Astyanax mexicanus: one gene and its partner. The protein of the gene in region 1 purifies or fractionates together with the protein of each later gene. This does not show direct contact. Links are inferred from orthologs where the notes say so. Each region holds a gene or a part of one and is shown on either strand. Other genes may lie near its edges.

Evidence for each region. The genes of interacting proteins can lie anywhere in the genome.
Region 2: the proteins of myosin-9 (region 1) and usp11 purify together in Homo sapiens (affinity purification with mass spectrometry; 3 studies listed by BioGRID, with this or other methods). This does not show direct contact. The link is inferred for Astyanax mexicanus from reciprocal best matches to the Homo sapiens genes MYH9 and USP11.

What each region holds. Positions count from the first base shown.
Region 1 is NC_064410.1:18,744,500-18,753,379, reverse strand, and holds the start of myosin-9, read right to left. Parts: upstream 3,909-8,880; 5' UTR 3,752-3,908; intron 1-3,751. UniProt on the Homo sapiens protein: Cellular myosin that appears to play a role in cytokinesis, cell shape, and specialized functions such as secretion and capping. Required for cortical actin clearance prior to oocyte exocytosis. Promotes cell motility in conjunction with S100A4.
Region 2 is NC_064419.1:3,820,044-3,828,373, forward strand, and holds the start of usp11 (ubiquitin carboxyl-terminal hydrolase 11), read right to left. Parts: upstream 3,907-8,330; 5' UTR 3,779-3,906; coding exon 3,669-3,778; intron 2,007-3,668; coding exon 1,897-2,006; intron 1-1,896. Other genes in the region: si:dkey-222n6.2 (keratin, type II cytoskeletal cochleal), read right to left, coding at 7,484-7,578, 7,703-7,749.

The DNA.
Region 1 (8,880 bases):
TATAAGTGGCATAAATTGATCCTAAAATGACAATAATATTGTTTATCGCAATTATTTCTGGGATCATAAGTCATCCATGAGCAATAATTATTGTGACAGGCCTAGTTCCAATTTATCAATGTAGTCAAAACGGGCCACTGAGCACAAGCCATATCAATAACCTTGTACTGCTACACATTGCAATGGATAGGCCTTGAAATATAATAAAAACATGCTGAACTAGGTAAATGCCTTAATGCCTCGATTCACACAGAACATCTGTCAGGATTTGCAGTATGAAAGGAAAATTGTAGTAATTTGCCTAAACCTCATTTGCGTATTTCAGCCTTCCACAACATCCATACACCAAAGGGCAATATTGTAATTAACGTGCAATATGATGTTCAGCCCATTTCAGACATGCCACAGTGCAGACAGCTGGTAATTACCCAACAGAGACTCTGTAGTGCTGCCACCGGACACGTCTGCCAGTTTCAGCACAAATTCAGGAATTTACAGCCCCACTTCATTACGATTAAAGACACTCGAAACCCCAGGCAGAGCAGGCGTACGTAATCACGCACTCTACAGGCTAATTCTGTGTCCCAGAGGTCAGGCTGGACAAATCAGGGTGTGATCACATTCCCCAGAACAGCAGCGTTCCCGAGCCTCCCTCCCCGAGCCCTGCAGCAACTCTTATCTCCACAATGAGCTGGAATTTAGGGCAACGGTACAAATCTAAACCATTCAACGCACTCAGGAACGGGAAGTCTGGGGGGTTCGATTCCCCATCCAGGAAATCACAGCATGGCACAGCAGGCCCTGAGACAAGAAGAAGAATTTCTTCTAAATTCACTTAGAAGACAACAAGCAGCCTCTTTACGAACAATCTTACCTGTGATAATCATGGTAAATTCCCCCAGCACTGTTCTACTACTATCATACGATCTTAAACAAGGTTACATTTATTATCCAGTGAATATAGATAATTTTATATGAATATGCATAATAATAAAGCATCTACAAAATAGTTAGCTAAAAGAAGTTTAAATAATAATGATTTAGTATCGCTATTGTTTTGAGTCCCAAAGTCAGCTTAATACATGCTCTTAAAAAATACATATATACAACTGACTGAGGCAAATTATCAGTTTAATAGTGACAATATTTAATCTTTAACTATTTTACCACGAAATTTGAGCAGAATGAGAAAAAGAACACACTCTGTGTGTTGCCTATATTACCTGAGCCAACATTATATTATAGCGAGTGCGATCTACACTGTATGTGTTAATATTTACAATATTAACTGATCTACCTAAATGGAATCTTTCTGTATTCATATTTAACCAAATTTACATTTTTAAGCAAATCTGAAAATTATGTTTCAAATTGTGACTGTTTTGTGTCAAATATGTTTTTTGTTGAAAAAGTAGCTACCATATAACCTAACTACCTAGCAATCTCTGATCTTCCATGATCATTAATTTACAGATCTGATTGGTTTCACTGGGTGAAACCTGCACATTTCATTCTTCAAAGAGCACAATTAAGTAATTATGCTGCATTCCATTTAGCTTACATGTTGGATGGTGCAGCTAGGTATTATGTCATACACTATTCCAGGTCAAAATATAAATCACAAGTGTTTTTACGGTGTTTTATGGTAAATCTAACCAATACTTTTCCCACTTTTTATGTCCTGGATTATCCCTTGTCCTGGATAGCCTTATCCCTTGTTAGAATTGTTTGTGAAACCAACTGATAATGAAGGAATTATTTTGCACATCCAAACAGCATGTAATCATGTGCAGATAGAAGTAGTACAGAACTGTGTGTTGGATGGATTTAATGAAACACTTATAGATAGAAGTGATAAACTCTATAATAATATTGCTTTACAACTGCTGATGTGTGAGGTTGCCATATTGGATTCTATTGGAAATTCGAGATTAAATGGAATGCAAATAATTCCCAGTTCTGTTAGATGGAAAGGCAACCAGTTTTCAATGTTCCAAATATGGAACAGGTTTTGAAATCTTGCTGTAAAATATGGATGGAAATATTCTGCGTATGGTGAAATGTCTTTATTGTGATAATAATTTTACATCTAAACCAGTATTTAGTTGACATTCTGCATTTGACATGAATAGAGAGTTGAATGTCAGAATTTACCATACTTTTCTTAGCCTGTAAAACTCTCATTTTTGCTTACATAACAAAACCCACACATAAGTGTGTTTGTGTGCACATTTATTTTTGAATGGCTTTTCTAAAACACTTATTACACACACTCATTCCAGAAAGTTCAGCTAAACTTTCCCCAAACTGGTTAAAGCACCTATTAAAAGTTAATCCAGAGGTATTCAAACTGAGGGGTTTAGTAATGTTGCAATGGAACAAAGGAGAGAGACTTACAGACAAGGTTAATATGTGTACATATAGCTAAAAGTGTTACTCGTTCTTTCTTATATTGAATGATGCATTCTCTCTGATGTATAAGCTACAAAAACTGATCGGGAGTATCGATCCGCGGGTTAGCTGCGCTACGTCACTGACACAGGGAGCCAGGTGTTCTATCGAGTTGTGCTACCCGTCGATATGTGATACTTAGCGGCTCTGCGCATGCGCAAAAATCTCATCTTTACTGTTTTCATGTGTTCTTTCCTAGAGGTGGGTAGCCCAGGTCCAGAAAGTAAAATTCCAGGCAGCTGGTACAAAACCCTGAGTTAGATTTCTACTTGCTGGACCTGTGTTACCCACCTCTAGTTCCTGGTAATTTAGTTTTCAGTTTTTTCCCCCCAGGTGCATTGTACAATCTGGACTCACAGTCATCGTTTGCCTGAATGTTACAACCGTGTAAAAAAACTAACAAATATAATAATAAAAATAAATAAAAATGTTTTCAGTCATGTTGCCTTGTTTTAACCTGTTTAACCTATGTTGCTTTAACTTTATCCTGATACAGCGATCTAGGCTATTCAGATATGATTATACCGACACTTCTACTGCATGCAGCATGTTCTAATATTTTTTATTTTTACAGTTAAACATTAAACACTAGGGTAGCACGGTTTGACAGGGTAGCACAACTCCACAGAACACCGGAATCGGGCGATGACGTCACCGCGTGTAACACGATGAACCATCCGAGAGCGAGTGTCTCGCGTGGAGCCGCGCCGGTGATTTACACCCAGAGTAAAACCCACCCCGCCCCGCTAACGCGCTCCCGGATCTGGCGGGGGGAGTCCCGGCCCGGTAACGGGCTCCGGCTGCTCCCTCCCTCCCTCTCCCCTCTCTCCCTCCATTTTTATGCAACTCATTCATGCGAGCAGGTCGTCGCTTCCTGTAACTTCACCGCTTTGTTTTTTCCCCTCGAACAAGTCTACCTGCAGCAGCAGCGAAGTTTAGAACTGCTTAAACTCGTAAAAGAAAGTGCGCGTGGAGATGAAACTGTGTTGCGATCTCGTTTAGAGTCCCTCCCGGCCAAGCTTTACTCCCCTCGCCCTTCAACGTTGAAGCTGAAGTTAGCATCTCGTTCACTTTTCCCATTCCACCTTAAATAGTGAAGCAGTTCCATGGCACTTTACAGTTACGTTCTGGCGCCTCAGTGGCCGGAGCAATGGAACGTCTGTCCCATTTAAGGTGGACCGCAGAGTTAGACTTGAAAGCCAACTTTGAGCCTGGCTCGTCCTTCCTGCTTCAGTGCACTTTGCTCTTTAGAGCAGATGGGTGGAAAATACGCCTTGTAAAAACTATAAAAACAACTTACCTGCTTATTCCAGCTGCTTTAAGGTTGACTTAACAAGAACCGGTGCTTATCCTGGTCGTAGCAGCTTTGCAAAAACCGCCTGTCCGCTGCAACCTCTCTTCAGGCTAGCGCGCTCTCTCCTCTTTCGTCTCTTTTGCTCTCTCTCTCTCTCTCTCTCTCTCTCTCTCTCTCTCTCTCTCTCTCTCTCTCTCTCTCTCTCTCTCACTCTTTTACTATTTTTTTCTGCTCTCTCTTCTCCCTCCCTCTCTTCCACTTGCACTGTTTCGCCTACTGGCTCGGGGTGCGGTCCAGAGAGGGCGGGGCCGGCGCGGTTTGTACGCCACGCCCACTTCCTCACTTCTCTGCCAGTCAGCGCGTAGCGTTCAGGCGGCTTCGGCCAATCAGAAGCCCAAAAGTGCGAAAACGAACCGGAGCTAAAGTATGAGAGAGCGGGAAGGGGGCGGGGCGGAGGAGTGGGGGCGGGGCCTGCCTCTCCCGGAGTTTAGAGTTTAACGGGACGGTCTGAGCAGCCGAGGACTTTTATGACCATATAAGTAGCCGGGCTGCGCGGGACGGACCCACCAGCAGCCCCTCGACCCCGGTGTGTCACTGTCTGCAGCTCCGCACACACACTCCCACAAAACACGGAGGAATGCCAGGAATTACCAATGCAGTCCACCCCCCCCCCCCTTTCCCTGTTTCTCTCCCTTTTTTGTGCGCTAGATTATGAATAGGCCTCAGTTCAGGCCCCCACTATTGTAGACAGGTTTATCACACTCATTCATCTTTACCATTTAAAACATTTAAACACTTACTTTTAAAAGTGAAGTTTTGTGTAGAATCCTGGAAAAAAACATCGGTTTGTCAAACGATAAAAAAAATATTTTTGTAACACTTAAACTTTTAGTAATAGATATTTAAATGTAATTAAAAAGAATCAATGTCAAGGTCATCTAAATGGTTTTATTTGTATTCAAATATGTTTGTTTAAATGTATCTTTACATCACTAAATATTGCTAAAAATGGCTAATGCATCACCAGGCTCTGGAAAAAGTTACTGCAGATATTTGGTAAAATAAAATTAAAGCGCTTTCTAGATTAATTGTGTGTGTGTGTGTGTGTGTGTGTGTGTGTGTGTGTGTGTGTGTGTGTGTGTGTGTGTGTGTGTGTGTGTGTGTGTGTGTGTGTTACCAGGTTAACACTGACAACACTATTTTATATATAAGCATTTGTTGAGTTCAGAATTTTGTGCACATTTTTTTGACATTCATTTTGTGTCATTAATTTTCTATACTTATGTAGCATTTTGTTTACCTCAGAAGTTAGATTATGGAGATAAAAATGTTTCACTTAAACATACAAATAGTTTAAATAAACAGTTAGCTAAAGATTTTGGAGTATACCACAATTGGTTTGCTGGCAAATCAGATTTAATCTAACTGATGATAATTAGTTGATGATGATAATAAGACTGTGGAAATTTTGTAACTATAATTTTATTCTTTAGATAAAGCCAGAGAGTGATTTCCGACATCTTCAAAAGACTCTTGGAAACTGGAGAAAACTGCTACAGGCTGACCCACATGGCAACATCTTTAGCTCAGATTAACACTGTAAATCTAAAAAGTCTCAGTTTTAGCAGTGGAGAGAAGAATTAGAGGTGGCAGGTAACATGCAGTAATAAAGACATTGTTAAGATGATCAAATAAAACAATAGGGATGTTTTGAAACTTGTTGTGTACTTGAGCACATTTTGTATTTGCTCTGTTGGTTGGTGGGGCACAGTGTCCAGATTTAATTAGGTTGTTGTGTTCCTGCAGTCTGTGTTTTTTGTTCCTCCTGCAGTATTGTGAAGTCCCTGTGTGATGATGAATGGAATATTCCACATACCTGAGCTCATATTCATCTAAAAATGAAATACAAAACAGGCATTAATCTCTGGGTGAGGAACTGGAATCTAGTTCTGCTGCCTGCCCAGACTCTGGATCTCCTGGACTGAATTTACATCATTTTTCTAGCCTTTAATCTCCTCATCTTATTCCTTCTATTCTGCTCCTCTTTCTCTTTCTATCTCCTTGAGTCTAAAATGAGCTGTTGTTGGGATTGAATTAAAGGCTGAGAGGATGAGACCTGCAATAAACCTAACTAGTTCTATTCACTTAACTCAAACTATAATTAAACACAATTACACACATTTGCACTTTTCTGAGCATTTTCTGAGCTTTACAGCATGAGCCTATGAGTAATCCATGTTTATTCCACTTTACTCCTTCGTATTAATGCATTAATTACATAATGTCCTGTCTTTAATTTCCTTGTATTGTGTTGGTTCTGCTCCCAGCCTGCTTCACTGCTTTACTATAGTCTGTAACAGATTTTAAAAGTAGCTTAAAAGCATTTTCTGACTACTGACTTTGTTAGGGTTTAGTTGTGTTCATTTTAACGGTATATAGAATTAATTACAGGTAGACACGCTTACTGTGTGATTATGGGATTTTTGAAGGTTCTTATTAAAGACAAGGGTTTCATTGAGAACCATCGTAGCTTAATGGGTTAAAGGGTTGGTTTACTTTACTTTAAAGAAACATCTGAACCCAGGATGTCCTAAAAACTACATATTAAAAACAACACAGTAATCAGTTTGTGTTAAAAAAGTATTTAAAAAAATATCTACAAGAAAGTTTAAGTACTTCTGAATTTGAATAGCAGTTTAACTATAGGTCAGATGTGTAAATGATTCATTGAGATGTTGACTTTGCTAAAGAACTTGTGAAAAACCTTTTATATAGCACTAAAATAAAACAAAAATGCTAGAATGTCAGAGCTTTTAGTAAATACTACAAATTTTCATGTTACTTAAATGTTTTTCACATTTTGCCACAAACCACAAACTTAAATGTAATTTATTGATATTTTAAGTGATATAATAAAAAGAACTAAAATTATAATGATTTCCGATTTTTTTATCAAATAAAATCTGAAACAGAGATGTGCAAAAGTAATCAGCCTATTAACCCTTTCAGTATACCAACACTTAGTAGAGCCACATTTCACTGCAATTTCAGCTGTAGGTATTTTTGGGTATGTCTCAATGAACTTTGTACATGTAGATACTGAGATGTTTGCCAATTTTTCTTTGCAAAAAAGCTAAAGCTCAGCCAGGTTGGATGGAGAGCATCTGTGAACAGCAATTTTCATGTCTTGCGACAGATGCTGGATGGGATTTTGGTCAGAACTTTGACTGGGCCTTTCTAACACATGAATATTCTTTGATTTTAATCATTCCACTGTAGCTCTGGCTGTATGTTTAGGCTCATTGTCTTGCTGGAAGCTGAATCTCCTTCCCAGTCTCAAGTTTTTTGCAGCCTCCAACAGGTTTTCTTCCAGGATTGTCCTGTATTTGGCTCCATCCATCTTCCCATTAATTTTGACCAACTTCCCTGTCCCTGCTGAAAAAAACATCCACACAGCATGATGCTGCCACCACCATGCTTCACAGTGGGGATGGTGTGTTCAGGGTGATGAGCTGTGTTACTTTTTTACCACACAAAGCCCTTTGCATTTAGGCCAAAAAGTTACCAGCACTGGTCTCATCTGACCACAGCGTCTTCTTCCACATGTTTGCTGTGTATCTTCCATGGCTTGTGGCAAACTGCAAGCGACACTTCTTATCACGTCTTTCTTTCAACATTGGTTTTGTTTGTGACACTTATCCATAAACGGCAGGTTTGTGGAGTGCACAACTTATAGTTGTCCTGTATACAGATTCTCCCACCTGAGCTGTGGATTTCTGCAGCTCTTTCAGAGTGACCTTGGGCCTCTTGGCTGCTTCTCTGACCAGTGCTCTCCTTGCTCGATCTGTCAGTTTAGATGGACTGTCATGTCTTGGTAGGTTTGCAGGTATATAATACTTTTTTTCTGGATGATGGATTGTACAGTGCTTTTTGGGATGCTCTAAGCTTGAGACAACTTCTCCACAAATTTATCTCTGACCTGTCTGGTGAGTTATTTGGTCTTCATGATGCTGTTTGTTCACTAGTGTTCTCCAACAAACCACAGAAGAGAACATTTATACTGAGACTAAATTACACACAGCTGGACTCTGTTAACTAATTATGTGATTTCTTAAGGCAGTTGATTGCACTGGATTTTATTTAGGGGATTTAGAGTAAAGAAGGCTAAATACTTTTGCACATCACACTTTTTTACAGATTTGTATTATTTTTATTAAAATCTTTGAAAACCATATATCATTTTTGTTCTACTCTACTCTACTCTATTCTAATTATGTGCTATCTTGTGTTGGTCTCATATAGACCTCATTTTACATCTTTTCACCTTTCACTTTCAACCAGAAATAGAAAAAAAGTAACATTTTCTACCAGAAATTGTTTTAATGAAAAGCTGGGACGTTTTTTTCAATGTCAATGTTTATATTTTATCACTGTTTGTTATTGCCAGATTTTTAAGTATTTTTTTTCAGTCATATTTTGAGTTGTTTATTTAAACATTCCTTTTTATATATGTAAGAGTGTCTCTGTTACTCTCTCTATCTCTCCCTCTCTCTTTCTCTCTCGGGTAAAGGGGGGGGCTATGTTGACGCCAGACTTTCACAAACATCCTTGAGCTTCGGATGAAGAGTTGTGACCCTGCCGGTCACGCAGACACAACTTCCACATCTCCAGTCAGTCACACAGAGCGACAGCTCTTTTAGCAAAAGTGCTAAGACATCCACATACTCTAAACTGTCAGATGGAGTAAAATTATCATGCTGAGTGTAACTGGCCAGTACAACAAAATATACAAATTTAAAGGACTTTGTTTGTATAGCTACTAAAAAAAAAGGGTTTCAACCAACTTTTTATATACTATGCATGTGCTAAAGCTCTTTTACCATTGTTGGTTCCTTGCACCATACTATATATGTCAATGTCAATTTTATTTTTTTAACAACAAATGTTGACCAAAGTGCTGTACAGTAATTAATAAACAAGGAATCTATTAAAACAAATGAGATTTCTGGCGGGATTTAAAAGTCGACAGTGAGGGGGCTAACCTAACAAACAGTGGCAACTCATTCCATAGTTTGTGGTCCAGAAAGACTTCCAGGTTACTTACCATCAGTAAGTTGTCTACCACCCAAATTTAC
Region 2 (8,330 bases), on another chromosome or scaffold:
CCTAGGCTTAATCTGCTGTGTCTGGAGCATCACTCCCTCATTTTTGGCCCATGCAGTGGCTCTGTTATGATGAACTGTGCACTGGAGAGCCATTTACCAAACATCACGAATCCCTGCTTAAACCCTCTCTCATTTTCCACTACATATTTTGTGGCTATGAAAAAACATCACAAATTCATCACTAGATCTATCAAGAAAGAGAACTGACTTCACTAGATATCCATCAGATCTTCCATGAATCAAGATGATACTAAACATTTGAGGGCCTGGATTACCAAGCACAAGAATATGTATTTCTATAAAAACAGGACAACTCTCATAAAAACATAACTGTATGTATAGCTGCTGACACTGCAATGACATGTTGGGATTTGTGGAGGCTTACTGTATTGTGAACAATTTTCTTATTGTATTGAAAACATGATTTATATGTTTTATGAATTTTATCCCATGTTCTTGCCAATTTAGAAAGACAAATTCCCAACCCACTCATTAAGACTCCCCCTAAGGAATAATAAGGAAATAATAAGGAAAATCAACCAGAACCATTGCTGCAACTGTTTGTAATGTCCTGAAGAAGAAAGTCATCACTGGTGTACTAAGTAACAGATGTTGAACAGGTGGACCAAAGAAAACAGCAGCAGTTGATGACAGAAACATTGTGAGTGCTGTTTAGAAAACCCTTTAACAACTGTAAGGGACATCAGCAACAGAAGACTTCATGAACAAAAAAACCTAGGTTAACAGTACATTATAGCTTCTCCACAGGTAAAACAATATATATAATAATAATAATAATCTTATCCAACAGGAATTAACCCTACAGTCTTCAACACACAGAAGAACAAAGATATATCACACCACATACCGTGTACAGAATGCCTGCATGTGTATAAGTCCATCTGTCCATTGCTATGAGAAATATGTTCCATTAAAAACAACTGTTTCCTTATTACTACATGAACAGTTCTGTCTGCATTTCTCATAGTAAAGCCACTCCTTATTCTCTGAAGCTTCCTGATTTTAATAAAGCACTATGAAGCTGTTTAGGAATGACTGTAGAAATATCTGCTATACATCAGACTATAACTTATATAGTTAGCTTTATCTAACTTGTTTTAATACTTTCTCTGATCATTTAAACAATATTAATTTCAGTAGTATCCATGTATTAAATAAATTTATCATTTTCTGTCATTAAATCAAAGCAAAATGATGAAAGGAAGAAAAAGTATAAGACTCAAGGATCCATGCATAATCCACCATATCATAATGATGATTATAATTAGAACTTAATGACTTTAATGCCTCTAAAACAAATTCAGATTTTGAGCATAGCATACCATACAGCAGTGGGTGGGAAAAACAGTATTAACTAATAATATATTGTTTCATCAGTTCCTCTCATCCTTCACTAATCAAGTGGAAACACTCAGCTCTGTTCAGTCAAACAAGTGGTTATCTACCTACTAAGTTACCTCCTAGTATCATATATGTATATACATACACACACTATTATATGTGCATAGAGCCTGTAGCATATTTAGCAGTAAAATATTAACATCTTATATCTTAAACATGTTATATCTTCTTTTAAATTCTAAAAGTAGAAAATTAATTAAATAAATAAATAAATATTAAAACCATGCCAACGTAAGGAGGAAAACTCCTGATTTGAGGAAGAAAAAAAAGCTAGCTCCTGTGTTTAATTTGCATTATGTTCAATCTTTGCACAAAATTGACCATTAATTCTATATATTACTGCATACATCAAACTATAGCATCCACGTGTAATACTGTAACTACACCTACGTCACATAATTAATTAAAAAATGTTATGATTTCAACATATAAATGAAACTGGAGTGTCGCTTTTATTATTAAAGCAAGACTCACTCTCAAACAGTTCAGTGTTATCAATCTGTCCAGGAAAAGAGGGGGAGTTCTGGTCTCCGGTCTTCACATATTCCTTCCACAACTCAAACCACCTACAATCCACCAGATACCTGCAAGATAATGAACAATAATAGTAGTGTTGTTTAAGAAAACAGTCTATTAATTACAGTTATTAACATGTGCGGTTTACTACATTACATTTATTCATTCATTACATATATTATTTAATTAATTAATTTATTTATTTTTTAATGAGAAGGTATGTCAAGGTAAATCTCCCTTCTCCTCTAAAGCCTGTGCCCAAACCGAAACTGATCTAAAACAGGGCGAATGACTAAGGAACAAACTCAAAAGTGAAACTTGGTAATGACAAAGCTGCTAGCTAACCTAGCTAACTGACAGCTAAACATTATTGTGTTCATATGGAGGTTTTGGATTTGGCTCTCTTTCAAGCACACTAGCAGTTCTTGGGCTTTCAGGTCTCCACTTGACAATACTATGGGATAACACTGACATTGCCAATGCTTTGTAGATAAATGGTTACAATTCCTAAACGCTTGATAGGATATATTTGTTCAATCCCTTGAATTAAATCTAAAAGTCTTTACTTCAGTTATATCTTTTTTGTTTTATTTCAAATCCAGTGTGGTGGCATGCAGAGCTCAAATCATGAAGATTGTATAACTGTCCAAATATTAATTTTAACTGACTTAAATGTATGTCACAGTTCAAAATAGCACTGTGCCATATTGTATCATACAAACGTACAAAAAACATGGATTATAGTAGTGTTCTTCCAAAAAACAGTCTATAAATTACAGTTATGTGTGGTTTATATACATACAGTATATATGCTGCACTTTAGTTTTGTGGATAATTTTGTAACATTACATTACAGTTACATTCAATTTGTTATATTACATGTCACATTATATGTCACATTTTTGTATATATATATATATATATATATATATATATATATATATATACAACTTTAAAGATGAAAAGGTGTGTCCAGGGTAAATTTCCCTTCTCCTCTAAAGCCTGTGCCTAAACCGAAACTGATGTAAACAGGGCGGTTGACTGAGGAACAAACTCAAAAGTGAAACTTGGGAATGACAAAGCTGCTAGCTAACCTAGCTAACTGACAGCTCTTAATCCAGACTAGGCTAAATTTGACACTTAACGTGTTCAAATAAGCTCTGTCTGCCCACAGTAAGATATAAGCTACGCTGTCTCTTTCTAAAAGCATTTGAAAGCAGCATTAACTAGTTAAATAACATAACAAGCTAGCTGTAAGCTAACTAGGTTAACCTAGCTAAATTAGGTTAGCTAGTTAACGTTAGCTTCTTTCTGTTCCTAAAAAAGCCTGACTGAAAATATATGAGTGTAACTTAATCAGGAACTGTTCCTACCAGCTAACCCACTCCACAAAACCCACATTCATGACTTTATTGTCTAAATTGTGTTAGCTAGCTAAGTTAGCTGGTAAAATATATCTGTCATTAAAGCCCAAAACCATTAGCTTGACTAACTAAACGCCACCAAAGCTTGTTACCCAGCCAACAGCTGAAGCTCAGACATCCTCCAGCATCTAAACATTTTAATAACATTTATTATTATGTGTTTATATCAGCACAGGCAGAGATATCTGAGAGTATATGTGCGTATTAAGCGCATCCAGCCCTCAGTAAGCCAGTTAATACAGTACTGTAGCCACTGAGCTCTGCAGCTCTGAGTTTCTTCCCAGCAGCAGCCGGACTGACTCTCACCAGCTCTCCCCGACCCGCAGCTCCTCTTCCCGCATCAGCGTCTCGATCTCCGCCCGCTGCGTCTCCAGCCCCGGAGGCTCCGTCGCCACGCCACTGCAGGTCGAGGCCATAATGATTCATTTAATACGACGCGAAAATCCAGCAGAACCCAGCGGAGAAACACCGCAAATTATTATTATTATATCGCAGGAAGAAGGAAGAGCTTCTGATGATGACTTCCTTACACGAAAGTGGGCGGGGTTAAATGGAAGGGGCGTAACTTATGTGTTGTAAGTTGTGTGTTTATTATAAATTATATATATAAATATACAGCTCTGGCAAAAAATTAGATCACTTTAAATGACCAGCTTCTCTGATTTTACTATTTATAGGCATATGTTTGAATAAAACAATGTAAAGACAACATTGTTGTTTTATTCTATAAACGAGAGACAACGTTTCTCCCAAATTTCAAATAAAAATATTGCCATATAGACTATTTATGTGTATTTGCAGAAAATGAGAAATACCTAAAATAAAAAAAGATGCAGACCATAAATAATACAAACAACAACAACAACTTCATATTCATAAAGTTATTAGAGTCCAAAACTCAATATTTGGTGCAATAACCCTGTTTTTAATCACAGTTTTTATGTATTTCGGCATGTTCTCCTCCACCAGTCTTACACACTGCTTTTGGATAACTTTATGCCACTCCTGTTGCAAAAAATTAAATATTCAGTTTGGTTTGATGGCTTGTGATCATTCATCTTCCTCTTGATTATATGCCAGAGGCTTTCAATTTGGTTAAATTAAAGAAACACATCATTTTTAAGTGGTCTCTTATTTTTGTCCAGAGCTGTATATTCTACCTTAGCTGTGCACTGATCAGCCATAACATTAAAACCTAAATGGGCCCTTGATTCAGGGATGTCAGAAGCAAAAAAAACCCTTGTGGGGGCTTGTCTATTTGCCCAGAAATTAATATAGTATAGTATAGCTTTATATTTCATCAAAGCAAAAGTTGACTACTCTGAACAACTTCAGAACTTTTTTTGAAAAGCATAAAATATAGACTCAACTGTATATTACCATGTCATACTTTTGATCTATTTAATTTTAAACAAAAATGTAGAAAAGAAAAATAAAACTCAGAAGGTGGTTCCAAACTTTGTACTGGCACTGTGTATGTAAAGACATTCAAAGTTCAATTAATAGATTGGTGCAGTTTTTAAAGCAAACAACACTAGATGGCGAGATTGTCCATCACATTACTGTTCAGCTGATCTAAGGTGCACACACTGCTGTGCTCAAACAGCTTATATCTTATATAGCCACATGGAAATCAATGCCTTAATTTAATCAAAAGTTTTCCTAACTTTTTTTTTACTTCTGTCTCTCAATTTGATCAGCAATACATATTGAGATGTGCTTTAAAACATAAATAAATGAGCTGCATTTGACAACAGATCACTGACCTATTTCCTGGATTTAAACTAATCATCTCCTCATATCTGATGAGCAGCAGTTAGACTGTAGGGCCACTCTAGAGCTGTGAAATTACACTGCATAAAAACACAGTTCTGATTAAATTAACCTTTTCATTCTCTATTAAAAACTAACTTGATTTTATAGCTATAGAGTGGTGCAACTGTCTAACTGCTGCTTGTCAAGAAACTGAAGAGAAATGTTTAATCCCGTCAACTTCAGAATAGCAGAAGAATAGAGTTTGAGAATAGAATAGAACCATATACAGCACACTCAAAAGGAGATGTTTGAGTTGAATCAAGTCGAATTAAGTCTGTTGCCATTGGCAGCATCTTTTTAATTGGCTTCTGGCACAATTGTTTTGCATACTGGGTGTGTCCCTCAGTTTCTGACACCCACCGTCAGTGTGTTGTCATTCCCCCCAGACTACCATAGGTAAACCTGTAGATCATTAATTGTGATTTCCTACCTGGCCTCGATGTTGTGGCCTACATCAGTTTCCTTAAATTATTTAAGTAAATTCAGCTTTTCCAGCTTTATATAGCTTTATATGTTTTTTTTAAATGCTTAGATTTATTTCTGTGAAGAAATTAAAAAGCACATTAGTTTTGCACTTAAGTGTAATCATGTGATATTCACACGTGACTTCGCTACGAAGCATCGTTAGGTTTCACTACAGACCAGTTTAGTCTTTTACTCCAGTTGTTATTTTGGAATCTTATCAGGCCAGTTTCTGTTTCTCAGAACAGAATTTCCTACTGAAACTACCTGTTGCTTTAAAGAGGATGTAGGTGAGATAATAGTCAGGGAGAGGTAGGAATCCTGCACTTAGGCTGCAATATTAATCATGTCTTTTAAAACCGCAGTCAGATTAGATTGAGATTTGAGGTTCTTTGCATTCTTCAATGGCGTTCATTGCAGCCCGGTCAGCGTGCCAACGTAACAAGGGCAACAATGCAGTTAAAATAATTAGCGTTTAAATATGGGTGGGGATGATTTATGCATGACCACATTTAGGAAGGTTAAAATTCCTTTACAGTGTACTGACAATTAAAACTAAATTCCACAGACGTGTAGGTTATGACACCCTGGGCTGTACTCAGTGAGCCTGCCAGCATTTTATGATGTGTACATATATCAGTAATACCATACACGTGGTAATAGTAATGGTAAAAGACTGTATGAGTCTATTTACACGTTGTATTAACATGCATTTTACCTCTGGATAGTACCGGGGGTCTATTTTGGCTTTAACCTCATGATTAAGATGGAGTAACCACCTGTAATACCTCAGCAACCAGCTGATACATATACCTTATCATCTGGCCTAGCTGCTACCTGATGTATCACAAAAACCAAACATGAACAGCTTAAAACCACCATAACACACAACCTTGGGCTTCTTATTAGTAATCACCAGAAATATCAAAGAAACCACATTACAACAACCTAACAACAGTGGAATGTTGAGTGATGGAAACCCATTTAATACTCTTAAGATGGGATAAAGTAACAAGCATGTGAAATACCCTAGCAACACACCCTAGCAACCACCTATGAACACCTTATCAACAGGTTAGTAACTTCCTGAAATATTATAGCAAATATTTTATCAACACCCCAGCATCCACCTAGCAACTGTGGAATATGGAGTGATAAAGACCAATTCAATACTATCAAAATGGGATGAAGTAACAAGCATGTGAAATACCTTAGCTACACACCTAAGCAACCACTTATGAACACCTTAGCAACACCTTAGTAACTGCCTGGAATATTATAGTTACTATTGTATCAACACCCCAGCATTACCTAGCAAATGTGGAGATCCATCCAATAGTTGTAGTAACTTCATGAAATTCCCCTGGAAACAAGCATGTGATATACCTTAGCAACACACCCTACAATAATCTCAACCACCTACAATCACCTTAGTATAGTACCTACTTAGCAACACCTTAGGAACTGCCTGAAATACTGTAGTAACTGCATCCACATAGAATACCATGTGAACCACTTAATAAAACATCTTAATCCTAGTGACCACATAGCAACAGCCTAGCAACGGTGGACAGCCACATTTTATTTTAGCAATTATTATTATTATTTGGCATCTACTATTGTACCTGCACCTGTACCAGACACAAAAAAGGCTCAGTATTGAAAAAAAAAAACTTTATTAATATTTGAACATGTTCAGTATCAGATCTAAAAGATGAATCCAGAACAGAACATACATGAAAGAGATGAATAACTTGAGAAAGATAAGGAAGATGAGCAGCTGCTGTCCTGTGCTGTTGACAGATACACACACAATCAACTAAATATCAACTAATAGGTATATTTTATCTGTGAGAAGGGAACACGCTGTTGTCCTGAGTCTCGAACATCTTAATGAGGACCTTAGAAGGAGAGTTGCGTACCGGAGGCACAGCAAGGTCTGAAAAAGATAAGGGAAAAATATTTAACTGGTACTGAAGGCTGCTGGTAAATGTCTAGAGGACATACTTTGTGGGGATCCTTATTAGCATTGATGTAAATGAATATACAGTATTGATACTCACTGTTTTTTGGGACCTTCTGGACATGTATGACCGATTGTTGTTCAATTCTAAAAGATGAAAAACAAAAAAAGTGTTTTTTTTAGATAATTCCATCACATTTCATAATTTCAGTACAATTTGATTAATACTGTCAGTCCTGATACTGTCTCAGAGTTTGCCTGCTCTGGGCTCTGAACTACACAATAAAGACTCTATTTCCCAGCATGCACTTACACAGGACTTGGGACTTCCCTGACTCTGCTGATCACGTGACGCTATGCTGTTCCTGCTCTCCCGGTTACTGATTGTTTGCACCTGGCTTGTCCTATATATATACACCCCTCTGTTTTTCTGTCCCTTGCCAAGTATTGAATCTAGTTAGCTAGCTCCTCTTTATTGTTTGTTTCTGTTGCAGATCTATTTTTGTATTTTTGACTACTCTTTTGCCAAGCCCCTTTTCTACTGGATTTTCTGTGTATGATTTTCTGTGTATGACCCTGTTTGACCCAACTACTCTACTGGTATGTTTATTACATTTGCTGCCATACTGTGTGTTCGGTATCCACGTGTGTCTGTTGTCTGTCTGATCTGCATGACAACTACAATACAAGTAACCAAGACCATAAAAAGTTTAAGAATAGGTGAATAA